Linked DNA regions of Arabidopsis thaliana. The protein of the gene in region 4 purifies or fractionates together with the protein of the main gene of each other region. This does not show direct contact. Each region holds a gene or a part of one and is shown on either strand. Other genes may lie near its edges. The genes, in order: AT3G18790, MAC3A, AT4G08640 and ARP4A.

What was found.
Region 1: the proteins of ARP4A (region 4) and AT3G18790 fractionate together in Arabidopsis thaliana (co-fractionation; one large-scale study listed by BioGRID). This does not show direct contact.
Region 2: the proteins of ARP4A (region 4) and MAC3A fractionate together in Arabidopsis thaliana (co-fractionation; one large-scale study listed by BioGRID). This does not show direct contact.
Region 3: the proteins of ARP4A (region 4) and AT4G08640 fractionate together in Arabidopsis thaliana (co-fractionation; one large-scale study listed by BioGRID). This does not show direct contact.

Annotation. Positions count from the first base shown.
Region 1 is NC_003074.8:6,475,595-6,480,463, reverse strand, and holds AT3G18790 (pre-mRNA-splicing factor ISY1-like protein), read right to left. Parts: upstream 2,804-4,869; 5' UTR 2,612-2,803; coding exon 1,709-2,611; 3' UTR 1,705-1,708; intron 1,191-1,704; 3' UTR 882-1,190; downstream 1-881. Other genes in the region: AT3G18800 (uncharacterized protein), read right to left, coding at 125-718; ACT2 (actin 2), read right to left, coding at 3,632-3,697, 3,784-4,397, 4,476-4,869.
Region 2 is NC_003070.9:1,224,578-1,231,658, forward strand, and holds MAC3A (MOS4-associated complex 3A), read left to right. Parts: upstream 1-1,905; 5' UTR 1,906-2,171; coding exon 2,172-2,184; intron 2,185-2,274; coding exon 2,275-2,360; intron 2,361-2,509; coding exon 2,510-2,581; intron 2,582-2,669; coding exon 2,670-2,732; intron 2,733-3,002; coding exon 3,003-3,089; intron 3,090-3,238; coding exon 3,239-3,380; intron 3,381-3,468; coding exon 3,469-3,590; intron 3,591-3,753; coding exon 3,754-3,870; intron 3,871-4,128; coding exon 4,129-4,224; intron 4,225-4,319; coding exon 4,320-4,379; intron 4,380-4,476; coding exon 4,477-4,551; intron 4,552-4,655; coding exon 4,656-4,760; intron 4,761-4,926; coding exon 4,927-5,046; intron 5,047-5,139; coding exon 5,140-5,217; intron 5,218-5,315; coding exon 5,316-5,400; intron 5,401-5,487; coding exon 5,488-5,539; intron 5,540-5,725; coding exon 5,726-5,796; coding exon of another isoform or gene 5,797-5,802; intron 5,803-5,887; coding exon 5,888-6,015; 3' UTR 6,016-6,370; downstream 6,371-7,081.
Region 3 is NC_003075.7:5,511,464-5,514,925, reverse strand, and holds AT4G08640 (ATP binding protein), read right to left. Parts: upstream 1,614-3,462; coding exon 1,479-1,613; intron 1,357-1,478; coding exon 1,223-1,356; intron 1,134-1,222; coding exon 1,000-1,133; intron 865-999; coding exon 752-864; downstream 1-751. Other genes in the region: AT4G08630 (fas-binding factor-like protein), read left to right, coding at 2,967-3,269, 3,359-3,462.
Region 4 is NC_003070.9:27,787,304-27,791,374, reverse strand, and holds ARP4A (actin-related proteins 4A), read right to left. Parts: upstream 2,168-4,071; 5' UTR 2,083-2,167; coding exon 2,070-2,082; intron 1,934-2,069; coding exon 1,842-1,933; intron 1,713-1,841; coding exon 1,566-1,712; intron 1,479-1,565; coding exon 1,405-1,478; intron 1,300-1,404; coding exon of another isoform or gene 1,253-1,299; coding exon 1,075-1,252; 3' UTR 1,041-1,074; exon of another isoform or gene 946-1,040; 3' UTR 799-945; downstream 1-798. Other genes in the region: AT1G73920 (alpha/beta-Hydrolases superfamily protein), read right to left, coding at 141-181; AT1G73890 (Bifunctional inhibitor/lipid-transfer protein/seed storage 2S albumin superfamily protein), read left to right, coding at 2,717-3,053, 3,141-3,239, 3,327-3,472; AT1G73885 (AT-rich interactive domain protein), read right to left, coding at 3,667-3,713, 3,793-3,958, 4,051-4,071.

The DNA.
Region 1 (4,869 bases), on a different chromosome or scaffold from region 4:
CAAATGTCAAAGATTCTAACTTTGTTTTATTTCAATCTTCTTGATCATTCTAAAGCTGAGGACTAATGAATAATAAGAAACAGATGGGTTTTGCAAAATTTACGAAAATGCCACTCTAGAGATCTCAGAAACAGAGGATAACGACAGAGAAAGAGATCATGAAAGTGTAAAGAAGGATCAAGAACCCAAAATAGAGAGCCCAATTTCTCTTAAACTTGCCAAAGTAGCTATCAGGTGGTTCTTGATACGGAACTTCCAGATCCCAAGCAGCAGCAGAGGCCTCATCACCGTCGCCTCCACCGAGGAAATCTCCGGCAGCGATTCTTGACTTGATGAAACGGAGCTTGTGAGTGGCGAGACCGAGAGTGAGCTTATGGCAGCGACGCTGGTACTTGAAGCCGTTGATGCAACGGAGAGTTTGAGCGACGGAGACGTAGAAGAAGAGGTGAGAGAAGGATAGGAGGCAGATGGGTGCCCAGCAATGGCGGCAGTGAAGACGACCTGAGGGTTGAGAGAGGGAGAAGAAGATTACGGCGAGGAAGATGAAGAAGAGCTGAAATAGCTTGTGGAGCTTCTTCTTCTGGTGGTCAATGGCTCGTTTCTTCTCTAAGGTTTTCTCGAAGTGGAGCTGGATTATTGAGTTTAGTGCTTGTAGAGCAGTTTCTTTGGGGATGAAAGGTTGGTTATTCTGGTCAATTTCGTCGTCGTAGTCCGCCATTGAAGGACTGAGAAGAGAGAAAAAGTGTTATTGGTTAGAGAGATGGTTTGGGGATTGTGTGTAGGAACATGTGGGTGTGGTTCGTATCTCTAGACAAGTATTATCCATCTCAACGGTCTTGTTCTGATTTTTGATGTTTTGTCCGTACTCAATAAATATTTTACTGGGAGTAAAATCAAAACCAGAAAAATGCTTGTGGTTGGTCTCAACTTATGTCTCTGCATAGCACCAATCTAGTTAGAGCCAAAGGAACAATGTATAAACCTCAGGCAATGAGCATTACATTCAGAAGTATAAAGATACAAAAGTCGAGCTACATAATAGAATACACTAGTTCAGTTCCAAGTGACATTGTATCTTCTCCTTGAGTCTTTCACATTTGTTTCCATGAAATCATATTTCAAACGCCCAACATCGTTTCTTCTTTAGGCAAGAGACCATCGCGGCTGAGTTTGTTGGTAAAACAGAGCATCTGAGAAGCATAGAGATGATGTATCAGCCTCTCAGATTCAATTCAAGAGAAGATATAATACGAATTCCTTCGCATCCTAATGCATGCCACTAAGGCACTAACTAAAGTATGTCCCATTGAAATAACAGTTTCTGCAAATCTAAGCTCCACATACAAGGGTACTAGGTCAATTACTCAGGTCAGTGAAACTCTTGATTAATGAAGCAAGAATGTACGTTGTTGTTATAGATTGATCGCGCTTTATGACATTACTCGACAGAAGCCTTATCATACTCTCAAACAGACCAGGACTACTAAGGAAATATAAATCAAGATCTAGCAAATTCTCTAAGATCATAATCTAGGATGTAATAATATAAGAAACATCAACAAATTTTTAGAATTCCTCTAATCGAAATTTCTTAAAACACACAGCAGTTCAGTCAATTTTCTGATCAAAAACTGCAAAAGAAACTACAGACAATAAAATTATACTATGATATGATTAAAAAGCCTTACAAGAAGAGATGATCACCTTTCTATCTATGAATATTGAGCATGGATTTAGCCTCAGTCTGCTGCTCAACCAAATCTTCACTAGCATACTTACTAAGCAGATCCATCTTCTTCTTCTCCAACACCATCTTCTCAATCTCCTTCTCATCAGGCAACGGAACATGAACCACAAATTCCCTCTCTTTCTCCTCCTCTTTCTCCCTCTCCATCCTCTCCTCCTCAACAACATCCTCCTCCTCCTCAAACAACACTTCCCTCGCCGCAGCAGCTGCAGCTCCAACACTCACAACCTCACTAGCACCTTTCCTAGCTTCCTTCCTAACCTCATCTAATCTCCGCCACTCCTCCACCGATCTTTTCCTCATCCCTCCTTCAGATTTCCTCTCCAACTTCTCCAAAATACCATCTTCATCATCTCTATACCCATAATAGCTAGCATCAATCCTTTTATATATATCATACCTAGTTTTACGCTTCCTCAGCTCAGGAGGCTTCTCAAAAAGCTCTCTAACACCAGGAAGTTTCTTAGCAGCTCCGAAGTAACGATAACCAGGACCACGACCACTAGGGTTAGGTACATCGATTATGTTACCTTCTAGATCCGTCATCTTCGCCGAATGTTTCGAGTAATTGTGACCACCTAGCTCAACGATTCGCCGCTCCCAATGATATCTCTCCCTGAGAAGCTTGTTAATCTCATCGTTTAGATCTCGAAGTCTGTGCTCTCCTAATCCTTCGTTCTGAATCTCAGCTACTTTGCTACCGATCTCTCTCAAAATTTGCTGTCTCCATTTGTCTGCTTCAGCTAGATCTCTACATTCTGATGCGAGGTAAGGTCGACGCTCTTTTGGCTTCTTCTTCTCAGATTCTTTCTGGGTGATGAATCTGTTGAGCATCGACTGTGCTTTCTCTTCATTACGAGCCATCTTGGGTCTTCGGAGGTTACGATTACACTAGCAAATCTCAAAGGAAAGCAGAATCTAACAGAAGAAGAGATCGAGATACTTCTCTAGCTTTTTTTTCTTACTTAAACCCTAATTTGCAGGATAACGAGAAGGAGAGACGCGGAAGAGAGAAACTGAGAAAGGATTGGGGTTAAATTGGTAATTAGATAATTGTTTCGCCGGAAAAAGAAAAATAAAAATTGTTTCAAGTTCTACGTCCTTTTCCAAAGCTAAGGCCCAATTTATTAGCCCATATATGCTATATAAGCATCAACTAGATAGGACAATATTTTAGGGCCCAAGGAAGACTCGTTTCGAGTATTGATTAATTCTTCAACGAGTTGACTTTTTGGAATCAAGATGTATAAACCAAATGTGCAGGACAATTTGAAATTAATTTGTTATATTTTGCATCATGTAAAAGGATTAATAAGCGAAAAGAGTAACGAATAGATACACCTCGTAATTGTTTTGGTGTAAAACTTGAAACAGTAGAATTGACGATTGGGGTTATATAAAATGGTGCGATCTTAAAATATCTGACTTTGTGCTAGTTTAAGTTCATTTGTGAATGGAAGACATGTAACGCTTTAACTATTCAGAATATCAGTTCCAAGTGAAGATGGAGGTAGCAAAAGTAAGACTAATAACCAAATCAATAAAAATCTTATACAATACTTATATTAACATTGCAAAGAGTTTCAAGGTTTTTCTTCTGAGTTTTGAAAGAAATTATAGGGAACAAAAGGAATAAAGAGGCATCAATTCGATCACTCAGAGCTACAAAACAATGGGACTAAAACGCAAAACGAAAGCGGTTTTTTTTTTTGAAACGCAGACGTAAGTAAAAACCCAGAGAGTTTGTCACACACAAGTGCATCATAGAAACGAAAACAAAAAGGGAAATGAAACAAACAAATGGAGAAGCAAATATAAAAGAAAAAAAGAAACTTTGATCCCATTCATAAAACCCCAGCTTTTTAAGCCTTTGATCTTGAGAGCTTAGAAACATTTTCTGTGAACGATTCCTGGACCTGCCTCATCATACTCGGCCTTGGAGATCCACATCTGTAACCAACATATACATAAATAATCAGCCTTTGATTTCAATTTGCATGTAAGAGAATTCGAAACAAAATCTGATCAATTTTTACCTGCTGGAATGTGCTGAGGGAAGCAAGAATGGAACCACCGATCCAGACACTGTACTTCCTTTCAGGTGGTGCAACGACCTTAATCTTCATGCTGCTTGGTGCAAGTGCTGTGATTTCTTTGCTCATACGGTCAGCGATACCTGAGAACATAGTGGTTCCACCACTGAGCACAATGTTACCGTACAGATCCTTCCTGATATCCACATCACACTTCATGATTGAGTTATAGGTTGTCTCGTGGATTCCAGCAGCTTCCATTCCCACAAACGAGGGCTGGAACAAGACTTCTGGGCATCTGAATCTCTCAGCACCAATCGTGATGACTTGCCCATCGGGTAATTCATAGTTCTTCTCGATGGAAGAGCTGGTCTTTGAGGTTTCCATCTCCTGCTCGTAGTCAACAGCAACAAAGGAGAGCTTCTCCTTGATGTCTCTTACAATTTCCCGCTCTGCTGTTGTGGTGAACATGTAACCTCTCTCTGTAAGGATCTTCATGAGGTAATCAGTAAGGTCACGTCCAGCAAGGTCAAGACGGAGGATGGCATGAGGAAGAGAGAAACCCTCGTAGATTGGCACAGTGTGAGACACACCATCACCAGAATCCAGCACAATACCTGTTCAATGGAAGATAATCAGAGCTCAGTTCAAATAATGATCAATGAGTATAAACAAAAAGCCTAAAATGTACTAACCGGTTGTACGACCACTGGCGTACAAGGAGAGAACAGCTTGGATGGCGACATACATAGCGGGAGAGTTAAAGGTCTCAAACATGATTTGAGTCATCTTCTCTCTGTTGGCCTTTGGGTTAAGAGGAGCCTCGGTAAGAAGAACAGGGTGCTCTTCAGGAGCAATACGAAGCTCATTGTAGAAAGTGTGATGCCAGATCTTTTCCATATCATCCCAGTTGCTAACAACACCATGCTCAATAGGATACTTCAAGGTAAGAATACCTCTCTTGGATTGTGCTTCATCACCAACATATGCATCCTTCTGGTTCATCCCAACCATGACACCATGATGTCTTGGCCTACCAACAACACTGGGAAAAACAGCCCTGGGAGCATCATCTCCTGCAAATCCAGC
Region 2 (7,081 bases), about 27 Mb from region 4:
AAAATGTAATAAGAAAAATGCCAGCGTGGCAATTGACGTTAAACGCGCTGGTCCTGGAGTTTCTTATTCTCGTGACGTGGCGTGTAACGATTGGAATAATTAGTTGACGTGGAGAAAATAGTCCCACCTAAGTGATGACTTGGTTGACCGGTAAAGGAGTTTGACCCAATTCTTTTTGTCGCGATGATTTTTGACTTTCTGACTGAAACTTGTGCTAAATTAAGCCTTCTATTTATAGAATTTGGCTTTTCTATTTTATTTTTAGCAATTTAATTTTTCATTTTCTATTTATTTACTTGGTTGGGTTTTTTAAATGCTGGTAAGAAGTGGAAAAGAAGAGAAGGAGAAAAAGAGACCAGGTCAGTGAAAATTTTGAAAATAAGAGATAAAGATCGTACTAAGTCAAATGTATTTATTTTATGGAAATTTCGAGGGGAAAAAAAATGTTACGTGATGCTTAGTTAAATTCGGAAACTACAAATTTCATATCAAGATGGTTTCTCTCGATAAAAATTCGTTACAGTGATAGTTTTAGCATACCATGCTTCGAGTTGTCGTTTTCTATATATGTTGTTTTCCTTACAACCATAACCAAATAATGAACTGATCATACAAATGAAAAGATACTTTTATAGATCGGAATATATATCGACTTAGATAACGTAAATAAAGGTACACCAATGTGATTTATAGATTATATAGTCATCAACACCATATATGAAACTTTAACAAAAAAACACCATATATGAAACTACAATTTTTTACGAACATGGTCTTACCTTTATTTTATCTTTTTTTTTCGTATAAAGAATTCCCAAACTATGAAAAAATGTCAGCTAGGTGAATAATCTAACTTTCATGGACTATTACTCAGCTAAGTTCAAAATATCCCTTCACTTCAAAACTTCTAAAAACAACTTTCATTGACTATACGCATTAATTAATTACTATTGTAATTACGACGATTTTTTTTTCGTTCTCCTCTAGCTTTTTTTAGTTTATTTGTTTTGGTCATGGTTGGGAACGGGACATCATCACATCACTTATCAACATTCTATTTGGTCCCCAACTCTATGAAGCATTATTTGAAATCATTAGCATGACTATCTAAGTTTTTTTTCTCCTGATATTTATCCAAAATTTTATTTCATTCAAATTGTTTAACAATATGTACATATACTATATGTATTATATAAAATACATATCACCACTCAGGCAATTTTTTAAACTTATATACAGTATGTGATAAAATAAACATGGTCATACGTTTAAGAATTGGAAATTAATGAGGTTGCAAGAAATCATTTAACGAGAACAGAATGAAGAGAAAGAAAAAAATAGCAACTTGGTGGCAAAAGGAAAAAGAAACAGCTTGAGATCAAAGCTGATTTGATGAATCGATACTTTGGAGATATATATGAGCATCTTCGGCAAAAGCTTTGGCCTTTGAGTGCAGTGTTACACACACGCATTTTCCAAACGAGATGATTTAAGTTTTGCAGAGCTATCACAAATATATTATAATACCAAACTCTCAGACAATATTATATAAATCGGAAGTCTAATTTTTTTTAATAAAAAATGAAAATATAGTATGACCAATGATTTGTTCATATAAGGTTCTTTTTTCGGCTATGTTAATTGTTGAGAAATGAGAATACTAAATATGCTTTTTATGAGAATACTACTTTTCGGCTATGACTAATTTTTGTTCATAAAGAACACATCTATCGTACGTGCAAATAGAATGGCCCGTACATCGTTGTCCTACCTTATACTTTAAAAGAATTTGTAATCAGAAAAAATAAAAGAAAAGAATGACAAAAAAAAGGGTAAGAATTATACTTTCGAGTTTCTTTTCTCAGACAGAAAGAATGAACGAACATACATAGTTTAACTAATGGGCTTCAGAAAAAAGCCTAATTAGTTATAAATCAAGGTCTCGTTAAAAGGCCCATTTGTTTAACAAGAAATCTCTAACTTGTTGTCCTAAGCTTAAACAATTTTTGCATCTCTCTCTCTTTCCGTCTTCATCGTCCTCCCGGCTTCTGCGATTTTGTTTAGTAGCGCCGGACCGGAGTAGTTAAAACCCTAGCCCAGTCTATTTAAAGATTCACCGAGTAGTCTTCTAGTCCTGCGTATACTTCTTCTTCTTCGTTTATACTTAGAAGATGAATTGTGCAAGTAAGGCACTCTTTCTTCTCTATTTACCGATTTAGGGTTTTATTTTGCTTTGTTTCTGTCGGTAACACTGTGGTCTTTTCTCCTCTACAGTTTCCGGCGAAGTTCCGGAGGAGCCTGTGGTTTCTAAGAAGTCGGGTTTGCTTTACGAGAAGCGGCTAATCCAGACGCATATATCCGTAAGCAAGTTCTTTTCTTTTCTCCCTCGTTCGACTCTTATCTAGGGTTTTCAGCTGTTTAGCCTCTTGCACCTCTCTATTTGCTGCAGATATTTTCTTAATACAGACTTTGTTGTGATAATTTATAGATTGCTTTTGGTACCTTGTAGGATTATGGGAAATGCCCGGTTACTGGTGAGCCACATACTCTTGATGACATTGTTCCCATCAAAACTGGGAAGGTAATGCAACCACTGGAGTTATTTGTCACACAGCATTGTTTGTAGAAACTTATTTAAGCCTGATTCGATCTCCGGGACCATTTTGCAGATCGTAAAGCCGAAACCATTACACACAGCTAGCATCCCTGGATTGCTTGGAACGTTTCAGACTGTAAGTTCTTATTTTGTATTCCCTATACCTTCTTTTTCGTTTCTGAATTTTGTTCTCTGTCTATTAAGGATCATATAGAGTTAAAATGGATGAACTTGATTTGGGTATGCATCGCTATCTGAGTTATTTAACATAGCAGATTGCATTCTACTCTTTACATTGAATTATATGTTCATTTGTTACTAATAGCAAGACGAAAGTGTTCGCTGGTTATTTTTACTTTAGGCAAAAGAAATGCTTAAAAAGTTTATCTGTTTGTTGTGCTTGTAGGAATGGGACAGTTTGATGCTATCAAATTTTGCTTTGGAACAACAACTGCATACTGCGAGGCAAGAGCTAAGTCACGCTTTGTATCAGGTAATTATGGTTAGGTGCATTTGCCACCACCTTATCAGACTACATGAATTACAAATATCTATTATGTATTCTAGTTTCTTTTCCTGGATGTTTCCATTTATTTCTTGTGATAAAAGGTGATTGATGGGGGATACACTTTTCCTTTGCAGCATGATGCTGCTTGTCGTGTGATTGCTAGGCTTAAAAAAGAAAGAGACGAATCACGACAATTGCTTGCAGAGGCTGAAAGGCAGTTGCCTGCAGCCCCCGAAGTTGCCACATCGAATGCTGCTCTTAGTAATGGTAAACGAGGTATGCTTGCACGTTTGCTTCTCAATGTAAGTTGGCTATGTGGTAATTTCTCTTATAACAAGCTACTATGTTTTTGGTTGCAATATAGGTATCGATGATGGTGAGCAGGGGCCTAATGCAAAGAAAATGCGTCTTGGAATTTCGGCTGAAGTTATCACAGAACTCACAGATTGTAATGCTGCTCTTTCTCAGCAGCGTAAAAAGAGACAGGTAACTGCATATATCAGTATATTAGTGGAAATAGAAGGCAAAAGAGAATTACATATATATATAGTTTGTCTGTAACATACAATGGATATCTGCACTTTTGGAGTTCAATTAGATTTGCGAGTGGTTCTTCTGTCTTAATAATTTCTCCTCATTGGTTCTCTAGATCCCTAAAACATTGGCTTCAGTCGATGCTCTGGAGAAGTTCACCCAACTCTCAAGCCACCCCCTTCACAAGACCAACAAACCTGGAATTTTTTCAATGGACATCCTACATTCTAAGGTTTGACACCTAAGAACTTCTCTATTTTCCATTCATCACTTTATGTAGTTTTTCTCTGTCCTGAGAAGTCACTGCATTGAACGTCATAGTGACATGTTTACTTTTGCGCTTACATTATATTGTACACTGCCATGAATCCCCATCTGGATGCTTATCAATATTATTCTTCAGTATATAGATTTTGTACACTACCATGAATCCCTGTGTCTGTTCTCTATTTAGTATTATTCTTAATTTCTCGTTATATGTGGTAATCAGGATGTCATCGCTACGGGAGGAATTGATACAACTGCCGTTCTCTTTGATCGTCCTTCAGGACAAATCTTATCAACGCTGACTGGTCACTCAAAGAAGGTCTGTCTTTTACTGTATTCTTTTTTTATATTTCATTTTCTTTTTTAACTTTTCCTTTGTAGTTTTGTGCTTGACATGCATTGTTCCTTTTGCAGGTTACAAGCATCAAGTTCGTTGGTGACACTGATCTTGTGTTAACTGCTTCATCCGACAAGGTAAGCTAAGGTTATGTGTACAAGCTCCTTTGAGGATTGCATGATTTTATGGAGTAGTAGTGAAGAGATTAACTTCTCATTTCTTAACACTCTGCAGACAGTCCGCATCTGGGGATGTTCCGAGGATGGGAACTATACCTCTAGACATACACTGAAAGATCATTCTGCCGAGGTAAGGATGTAACTGAAGAACTTCTACAGGCTACAGTCTCATACAGTTTTACGTTTTATTTATTTTTGGTCTGTTTAACGTAAAAGCAATGATGTGGTTTTCAGGTGCGAGCTGTAACTGTCCACGCAACGAATAAATACTTTGTGTCAGCATCACTTGACAGTACATGGTGCTTCTATGATCTGTCCTCCGGTTTATGCCTTGCTCAGGTCTCCAAAATTTTAATCCACACCTGATACCTGTTATCCAGTTTCAGATTTCTTCTTTTATGCTAATATAACAATGAAACATTTACCTTCTTTATTGTAATGTGAATTAGACTCGTTAGAATAAATGTTTCTGCCATGCGTCTTTCTCATTATTGTTGTTATTCAGGTGACAGATGCTTCCGAAAACGACGTGAATTACACGGCTGCTGCTTTTCATCCTGATGGTCTCATTCTTGGAACTGGTACCGCTCAATCTATTGTTAAGATTTGGGATGTAAAAAGTCAGGTAAAAACTCTTTGACCTTCCTTGCTCATCAACTGTTGTCACTTGTAAGTTTGTTCTCACTTCACTCTCATCTCTATCTCTGTCGTTTGATAGGCAAATGTGGCAAAGTTTGGTGGACACAATGGAGAAATCACCTCTATATCATTCTCTGAAAACGGTTATTTCCTTGCGGTGGGTACATTGACTGATTGACCTAAACTAAGTAGAAAGAAGGATAGCACCAGGTTCCTTTTGACTGACCAATATTTACTATTCTTTAAATTGTACAGACTGCTGCACTGGATGGTGTTAGGTTGTGGGACTTGCGCAAGTTAAAGAACTTCCGAACCTTTGACTTTCCAGATGCAAACTCGGGTATTCAACTACCTGAGCACTCTTACTAGTCTATTTTGTTGAGTGAGTTTTCATTTCTTAAGGCCTGAATGAGCTTTTTTTGTGCAGTGGAGTTTGACCATAGCGGATCTTATCTTGGCATTGCTGCTTCAGATATAAGGTGAGGTCTACTTTGATACACAATGTTGGGAATTAATTGATATAGGAGCTCACTTTGATAACGAGATATTGAAAGATAGTTGTGCAAACTCAATTAACCTGCTATCACCAGAAATGCAGTTTGGGTATATGTATACGTTTCTTCTGCAAATCATACTAATCGAAAACTTGTGCTTCAATGTTGTAGAGTATTCCAAGCAGCTAGTGTAAAAGCAGAATGGAACCCAATCAAGACTCTTCCCGATCTGTCCGGTACAGGTAAATGCTACATGTTAAGCTTTTGAAGTCACTGCTCTTCCTTGTTTTATTGAGTCTATCATTCAGACATTGTAACTACATAAATGTGCAGGTAAAGCAACAAGTGTTAAGTTTGGACTCGACTCCAAATACATAGCAGTCGGTTCAATGGACCGTAATCTCAGGATATTTGGTTTACCTGATGATGACAATACTGAAGATTCAGCACAAGATTCATGAAGAGATATCTCAAAAGTCTCATCATCAAGAGTAGCTATATCCTCAATTCTCGCGATTTTTGTTGTATCTTTACAGTTCTGTTGGTACTTTCCTGATGGCCCCTCTCACAATCACATATACACACCTGAGCTCTCTCCCTTTCTTTCTCAGTCAACAATTTTCCTGTAACAACATCGTACCTTAAGGATCTGCAGTTGATCTTTCTCTCTTTGATCTGAAAGAGTCCACATAAAACAAAGTTAGCTGCTCACTATAAAAGCAAATGAAGAACAGGCATGTAAATGATCTTCTTCATCATTCAAATCAGTAGGACCTAAACGGCAACAATTAAAAAACTTGTGTTATATAGAAAGGGTCATGAATCTTGAAGACAATGAAATGAAGACAAAAAGATTGTGATGGTGGTCATAGAAATTAGAAAACCCTGAGACAGACAGAGATTTTGACTGTACTGTGGTCAAAACACACACTTCACAATCTTCCCATTCCCCCACCAATCTCAGATTCCTTTTCACTTCCTCCAACTCTTTCTCTCTCTCTGGCCTTTTTTTTTTTTTTTTTTCCTATTTATAGCTCATCTTTAGTAATTCCGTTATTGGTTAAATTTCCTAAACATGTTTTTGGTATCAACAATCAAGTAAGTGCAAGAAAGTTTGTATCTTTCTCTAAACCCAATTTCCAAAGTAACCAACTACTAAACCAGAATGTTACACAAAGTAAGTCACTAAATGACTTTAAAAACAAGATTAGACTTTAAACTAGATTAGAGACATACTTATTTGGAATAAGATTCAAAGGTCACTAGTAGCTAGTAGGTGGTAAAAAGGAAGCTAAACAACAAATAAACTCTTATTAAAATCTTTCAATCAATAAATATTTATTGTAATTTGCTGCAGTAAATCAAACATTGTACAGTTTCAGAACTGAATGGCTCAGAAGCGTTAAAAGGAAAAAGAGACTCTCTCTCTCTCTCTCTCTCCCCTAATCTCCTCTCACATGGTCATCAAAAGCCAAAGCCAAAGCCAAAAAAAACAAAGAACCCAGAAACCTAGAAGACAGAAACAAA
Region 3 (3,462 bases), on a different chromosome or scaffold from region 4:
TAATCCATAGAACCAAATTCTTTTCAGGCTGCTTTGAGAGTTGCATCACAAAATCATGGAGGAAGGAGGGTAGATGTTTTGGCTCTTCACACAGAAGCTGAGGTACTTCAAGTTTTGATATGTTGTTGTTCTTACGGGTATTTGTACTAACACCTTAGATCTTGGAATCGTTTTAGATTGCTAGGGAGGAGGCAACATCTTCGTTAGAGCACCTTTATAAAGTTGAATTCGAGCTTAACTCTCTTAAGACCGTGACTAATAGATTGATATTGACTCGAGAGGAGTATTTTTAAAGGTTCATACTTTTTGTTTCCATCTAGTGTATTTTTTAAATCGATAGTTTCTCATCTGGAGCTCTCTTTAGGAAGAGATTGTTCTGAAGAGGTGCTGGCTTTTACGTTATTGGGGCTTATGCGTTAGACATGGTTGTACATTGCTTTCTTACACATTATAATCTATAAATATATAAACTTTGATAATGTATTCCGTCTATTTTTGAGACATGACAAAAAAATGCCTCATGATCCTTTATACAGAGCAAATACTTCAAAAATGTCTCTTAAATAATCATCTAATAACAGACCTCTGCTTCTAAAAAAGGATAGAGTCGACAAAAAGAGTTCACATGTTAAGATTTTTTTACCTTTAGTGAAGACAGCTCCCGCAAACCTTTTAAGAACAATAATCTCTACATTACTCTAAGTCATTCATTACATGATAAAAAGAAACACATCAATTATCTGATCTAGTTTCAATCCTTCTTTTTCTCAGCCTGGAGCTTACTCTTAAACTTCTCTGCTTTCTTCTGAGAGGCTCTCTCAGCCCTCTCTGCATCTCTCTCTGCCTTCTTTACAGCTCTCTTGGCTACAGACAAGAATAACTAATTCAGTAAATATACAAGTATTAAATTGTATGTATTGATTCCATGAGTAATGTAGCTTTGTTGTTTGGTTAAGACTTTCCATTTCGTTCCACACAAAGTGATTGTTGAGGAATTACCAATCTCTGATAATGATGTAGAATCCATGTATCCAAGATGATGAGGTTGGAAATGCTGAGATGAATCAATTGCACCAACTATTGAACATAAACTGTTAATATCAATGTCAGAAGAAATCTGTAGAACCATTATCCTAAAAAAAATGGTATTGCCAACACTGTATTTATCAAAAGGTTCAGAAAAAATGATTCAAAGTAGGTTCAAATGTTAGAGATTACTTACTTGTAAATTTTGCAGAAACGTAGTGTCATTTCACAAATTGATGACCGACTAACAATAACTTTTACATTGGAAAAAGCAATATCTTTAACCAAAGTCTCAAGCATGGCTTCCTTTGACTTTCCAAAGTTATGTACCTAGAAGACTAGAACCCAAAATAAAGGAGAAAAATAGTCAACAATTAAAAACACAACCATCCTTGAGAAAGACAGTTACAAAGGATGCCATGTTATGCAAGATTTGTTCAACCTGGTCTCACCTTTGCATTTTTCAAAGGATGCCTAATGTTACCTACATCGTCACTTTTAAAGACGATACCACAGACAACGCAAGATTTGCGAGAGTCTACTCCCAATATCTTGGCAACATGGACATCATCAATGTTCATGGTCATTGCATTCGTTAGGACTTAAGAGCATACCTGTAAACAGATGAACCATTCTATTGCAATAACACTGAAGAAATGAGAAATAATAAAAAAAATCTTACATGAATAAAATACCTCAAGTACTAAAGAATTTAAACTTTTTTGGTTAAACTGCTTGCTAGTTATCATCCTCATTCGGGAAAGAAAAGTCTCTTGCACAACCATAGTCTCTCAGATATCTTAACTTGTTCTTGAAGTATCTCAAGAGCCTACCGAACAAAAAAACAAATATGATATTTATGTTTTAACTCTAGAAATAATAAATAGTAATAAGGACGCATCATTCACCTTTTCCAAGGATTTTGTATATCCCGAAATGTTATCAGTCTCATCTCTTTCAAAGAATCTTTATGGTTGAGAATTGATCTAGCAAAAGGAATGGCTAAATCATCTCTTTCATCTTTCTGCTGCTTAGAGGCTATTTCGGATATGATAAAAAGCTCATCTATCTTATTAAGGATTGATGTTGCCAAGCATAAAAACAACACAGAGATAAGTTACACTTACGTATTACAAAGAGAGCAAAAGTTAGAGATATCAAGTAATAAATGAAAAAATATGTATTGCCTAATAAGTAATTAATAATTTAATAAGAAATAAAAACTATATGAAAAATATTTTTTATCATACAACATATGCTATAATCACTGATCATAAGTCATAACTAGAAATATAAATTTCTATATGCCGTTGTGGTAGACGAAACAATTACGAGCTAACTATCAAATCAAATAATATATCTCTTAGTTACTTGATTTTCCTTTTTCTATTTTACAAACCGTGAGAAAACTTTAAAAACTGTACCTAAACCATAAACAAAAAGATGATAATGCTATTATAATTGGAAAAGGGTACTTTGGATAATTATTACACAATCGTGGGATGAAAACTATAAAATAAATAAATTTAGGTACTATCGATAACAATAATAAATTATTGGGGATGAAAGTATAAATAATTAAAGAAGAAACTGTTCTCAATCCGACCGTTGAAAGCCACTCGCAATTTCTGGCTAAATGACCGAAGATCAGTCAGAGAGAGAAATATGTGCTGCCATAAATGGCAAATTTATTCATTGCTTTTTCTTTTGAAACATTCTTTGAGATTTCTGTTGAATCTAATTTTGTAAGGTTCTGTTTAATTCACGCATTTAATTCTTTTTCCATTTTTCTGGATTTCACTTTTCTGTGATTTCCAAAATTTTGACAAATTTGGTAACTATTTTTTTAATTCAATGTGTGGAATTTTTAGTTCCAATCAAACTGCCATTGATGTGAATGTGATGATGAAAATCAATGTGCTTAATTTTTGTAGTTGACGATGAGAAACACGAGACCTATTCATGTTAGGAATAAGAGTACGGAACCAGGAACACCATCTTCGCCTATGATGACGTCTCCTCTAATGCATCGTCATACACGTTCAGGATCAAATGCTGGGCCAGCTTCGAATGCTAAGAAAGCTCAGACAAAAGCAGCTGCTCAGAGACTTGCGGCTGTGATGTCAAATCAAACAGGGGACGAGGAAGATAGTGATGAAGACCTTTCCTTTGACTATAATGCTATCGGAACAGGGAGCATTGGACTCGCAGCTGGAAGATCTCATCCTTCTCGCTCTCCTGTGGTAATTAAAATTAACAGACTCACTTTTTCACTGTAATGAGGGTTTTGCAATGTAGGGATTTTATGTGATAGTGTTTTCTGGACTGACAGATTAGGAATCCTATGGCAAGGCGTCAACAGATGGCAACTCCACAGTTAGTTGATGAGGACAATGAGGATGATGATTTTTCAGTGGATGTAACGAGCAGTAGACC
Region 4 (4,071 bases):
CTAATTAACAAAGAGACTTACTATAATCACCAAACGATCAAAAACTTAAAAATCTCTACTTGTCATTTATGAAACATTAGAACAACTATAGGCGCATACACAGATGAATCCACTGATGATCGATAAGAAAAAAGACTCACTCTTTGGTTACAGCGAGAGCGTTGTCCACGATCCGTTGCATTGCTTTTTTCTCAAAAATCAGATTTTTTTGTTTTTTTGGAAATATCAGAAAATTTGAAACCAAAAAACAATCTGATTCGTCGCCGTAATCCGAAAATTATCGAGGAAAACGACAAAGAGAAAATTTCTTATCCACCTGAGAAAACACAAAATTTAGCCAGAATAGAAATCTCTCGATGCTAGGAGATATTGGACCAAATCGCGATCGAGATTTAATCCGAACTCAAAATAAGGAAAACACAGAGACCCACAGGAGCCGCGATTCGAGAATCAAAAATCTAAAAAGAAAAAACAAAATTGGAGAGAATCTGACGAAAATAAAATAAAAATGGGAGAATCCGATTAAATAGGGGCACGTCGGCGATTCTTGCCGTCCAGAGACCAGAAAATGGTGACACGTGGACATGTGTTATTGGATAATGACGAATGTGACAAAAACTACGACACGTAAATTCGACTTTTGGATAACGGAGAAGGTGGATTTACCAAACAGGCAAACACACAAGTACATTTGTGGTTGTTTTCACTTAGAAAAATAGTACATTTGTTGTATGTTAACGTTGAAACATTATATTATACGAAGCTATTTCTAAAGCTTCATAATAATAATAAAAAAGTGTTTAATATTTGCCTAAATAAATGAAAAGATACTAATTACTTAATCCCTAAACCCTCTGACTGTCTCCAAAGGTTCTCGTTATCTTGATCTCAAGCAGCTTTTAAGGGCATTTCCTCTGGATGTAAGAAGCTCCATGCTCTGCATACCTGTCATGTACACAAAAAGACTCAAACCCTAGCGATGAGAAGACACTGTTTATACGTGAGTCGAGATCTAGAGAGCAATCCAATGTGTTACTTACTCAGACTTGGAGAACCACATTTGCTGGAATGAGCCTAACGATGCCAGTATACTACCTTACTTCTACCAAGTCTTTCTCGAGGCGTTCTTTCAATTACTGCATTGATGATGTTCCACCAGAATAATCTGTTCCTAATCCAAGATGAACTCAGCATCGATAAAAGGTAGAGAAACCAGACTTTTCTCTCTGCTGCTGTGAGTTCAGAGGAGGCTCTGCAAGTAGCATTGGGTGCTCCGTGGGATCAATCATTAGACAATTCCTTGAATAATAAACATTTACACAGATGAAATCATCAATCAACTATAAATGGAAAAGATAAAGATTAAACAGTTAAAGACAAAAACTAACAGATTCTGCAAATTACCTAAAAGCATGATCCCATACATTGTCCACCATATCCCAATCAGTTACAATGCCATCCTTTGTAGGTGACAATATCTGGAACAGACAAATGTCAACTAATAGAGAGACCTGAAAATTTATCTTCATCCCTAACCATTTTGAAGTTTAATAAAGAAAACTGACCTCCATTTGATCGCGGCGAAAGTTCAAAGCTTGAGATCCTGTGTAAAGCTTCCTTTTGCCTTTTTCTTTATCAGACTCCTTTGCATCCTCCGTGGTGTTTGCAGCATCATCAATATCCATTCCATTTCCATCTATCGCTCCAACAACCTTATAAGTTATATAACACATCAACAACAGCAACAACAAAAAACCTAAATTTCTCGAATTGCTTGCTCTACACTAAAAGGACCTAACTTTAACCAATTGAAAAGAGAGGAAGTAAAGAATGAGACTTACGGAAGGGAAAACAGCTTTAGGGGCATCTTCTCCGGCGTAACCAGCTTTGCAAGTGTGAGAACCTAAGTCTACTACGATAGCTGACACTTCGTCTGTTCAATATATAAGAAACCCCACCAAGGAAAAGTTTACACCTTTACGAGACGAGCTCAAGCGAAAAGGGAAAGAAGTAATGCTGAATTTGTACAATCAGAGAGAGATTTTAGAGAGGACGAAAATAAAACCTACCTCCACCGTACATGGCTGCCGAGAATGGGAGAGGTGAAGAGAGGTTTTCTCTACCGGAGCTTCGTCGGAAGGTTTAAGAACGGAACCGGAAAGTAAACTATTTAAGTGATTTCACTTTGTCTCGGATTGGGAAGTTGAATATAAAGAAGAGAAGGACTAAAACAAACAAACCTGAAATATGAGGGACTAAAACTAAAGAAACTGAAAACAAAGGGACTAAAATAAAAACAAATATGAAAAAATTAAAAATACGCCGTTGCCGGGGATCGAACCCGGGTCACCCGCGTGACAGGCGGGAATACTTACCACTATACTACAACGACTTTGTTGCTCAAGTTTTCTAAATTTGGTATTTCAATTGGTTAACTATTTCAAATTCTAAAAATTTGTTAACGAGATTCCGGTAACATTCTTGTTTTCTTGTGGTCAACAAGAAGCACAATTTACGAATGAACTCAAAAACACCAAATAAGAAACGAGCATGAAGAACTCAAGTGTTGCAACAAATAAACACACATCATGTGTGCAATAACAATTCATGTCCATAGTCACACACACCAAACCAATTGATTCCAACCTTAAATACTCAGAATCCCCTTACTCTCCCACAAACAAAGAAGAAAGAAACTTAGTCTCCTAGGAAAAAAATGGCTTCTTCTACTCTTCTCATCACTCTTTTAATCTCCTTATCAGCATTCTTTCTCCGAATGGTTCTCGCTCAAGTACCAGCTACATGTGCCTCCAGACTGCTTTCCTTAGCTCCATGTGGTCCATTCGTTCAAGGCTTTGCCCAACTTCCGGCTCAGCCATGTTGTGACAGCTTAAACCAGATCTATAGCCAAGAAGCAACCTGTCTCTGTCTCTTCCTCAACAACACCTCTACTTTGTCCCCTGCTTTTCCAATTAATCAAACTCTTGCTCTACAATTGCCTCCGCTTTGCAACATTCCAGCCAATTCATCCACTTGCTCCTCCTCCTTCCCTGGTACGTAAACAACACTTCTACTTTGTCCTCTCCTCTGTGAGATCAAATTGGTTTCTTGGAACTTACGAGAATGTTTTCGGTATATAGGAGAGGCGCCTAGTGATTCCTCCTCTGTTGCTCCACCACCTTCAAGCTCAACTGGTTCTCAAATCTCTCAAGGTGCAAAGAACAACTCTCGTGTCGCTGGTAAACCACTTTTTACCAAAGTTTTCAGTATCTGCTAAAACCAAAACATGGAAACAGTTAACATAGTGTTACTTTTCACTTTATCAGCTACTCCAGTGGCTCAAATGGCACCAAGACCCACCAGTTTTATGGGATTAGGTTATGGTTTGAAATCCTCTGGCTCCAAGTCTGAGATTCAGCTAACCATCTTTGCACTCGCAGCGATCTTACCCGCCGCTCTCCTCCTCATCTGAGTCTTTCTGCATTAACTACCATCTCGGTCTCTTCTGTTTTGTGTTTTCTCAATGAATCAAGATCAACTTTATAACTTTACCTTACATTTATAAAAGAAGAGATTATTGGAATGATTCCTAAAGAAGTTTGCAGTTCAGAAATGAAATCGGAAAACAGAACAATGAAGAACAATACTCTTCTTTTAACTTTGAATCTATAACATTATGAACACAACAAGCTCAAGATCAACTTGGAATATGGCTTTTTAAAACACCCCAATAGCAAAAAGTTTCAGTCTTTAAATTCTTTCTCTAAACACTGAACTGAAACTATTCCAAACTAGGAGCCACTTCTGTTGGGTTGGACTCAAACACATCTTCAGAGTTTGAACTCTCTGCTTCATCAAGAAGGTCACGAGATTGAATCGCCTCTTTATATACTGGCGTCTCCTTGAAATCCGTCGCACCTTCGTTATACGTCCCCGCCGCAAGTCCACCAGAGATTAGCTGTTACAACATTTTGAACCATAGTGAATTGATTGGTTTAACTTCAAAATTGGAGAATTGTTATAAAGCAACTGAAAAGTACAGAAATTTACCGCGAAAAGGATTCCGAAAGC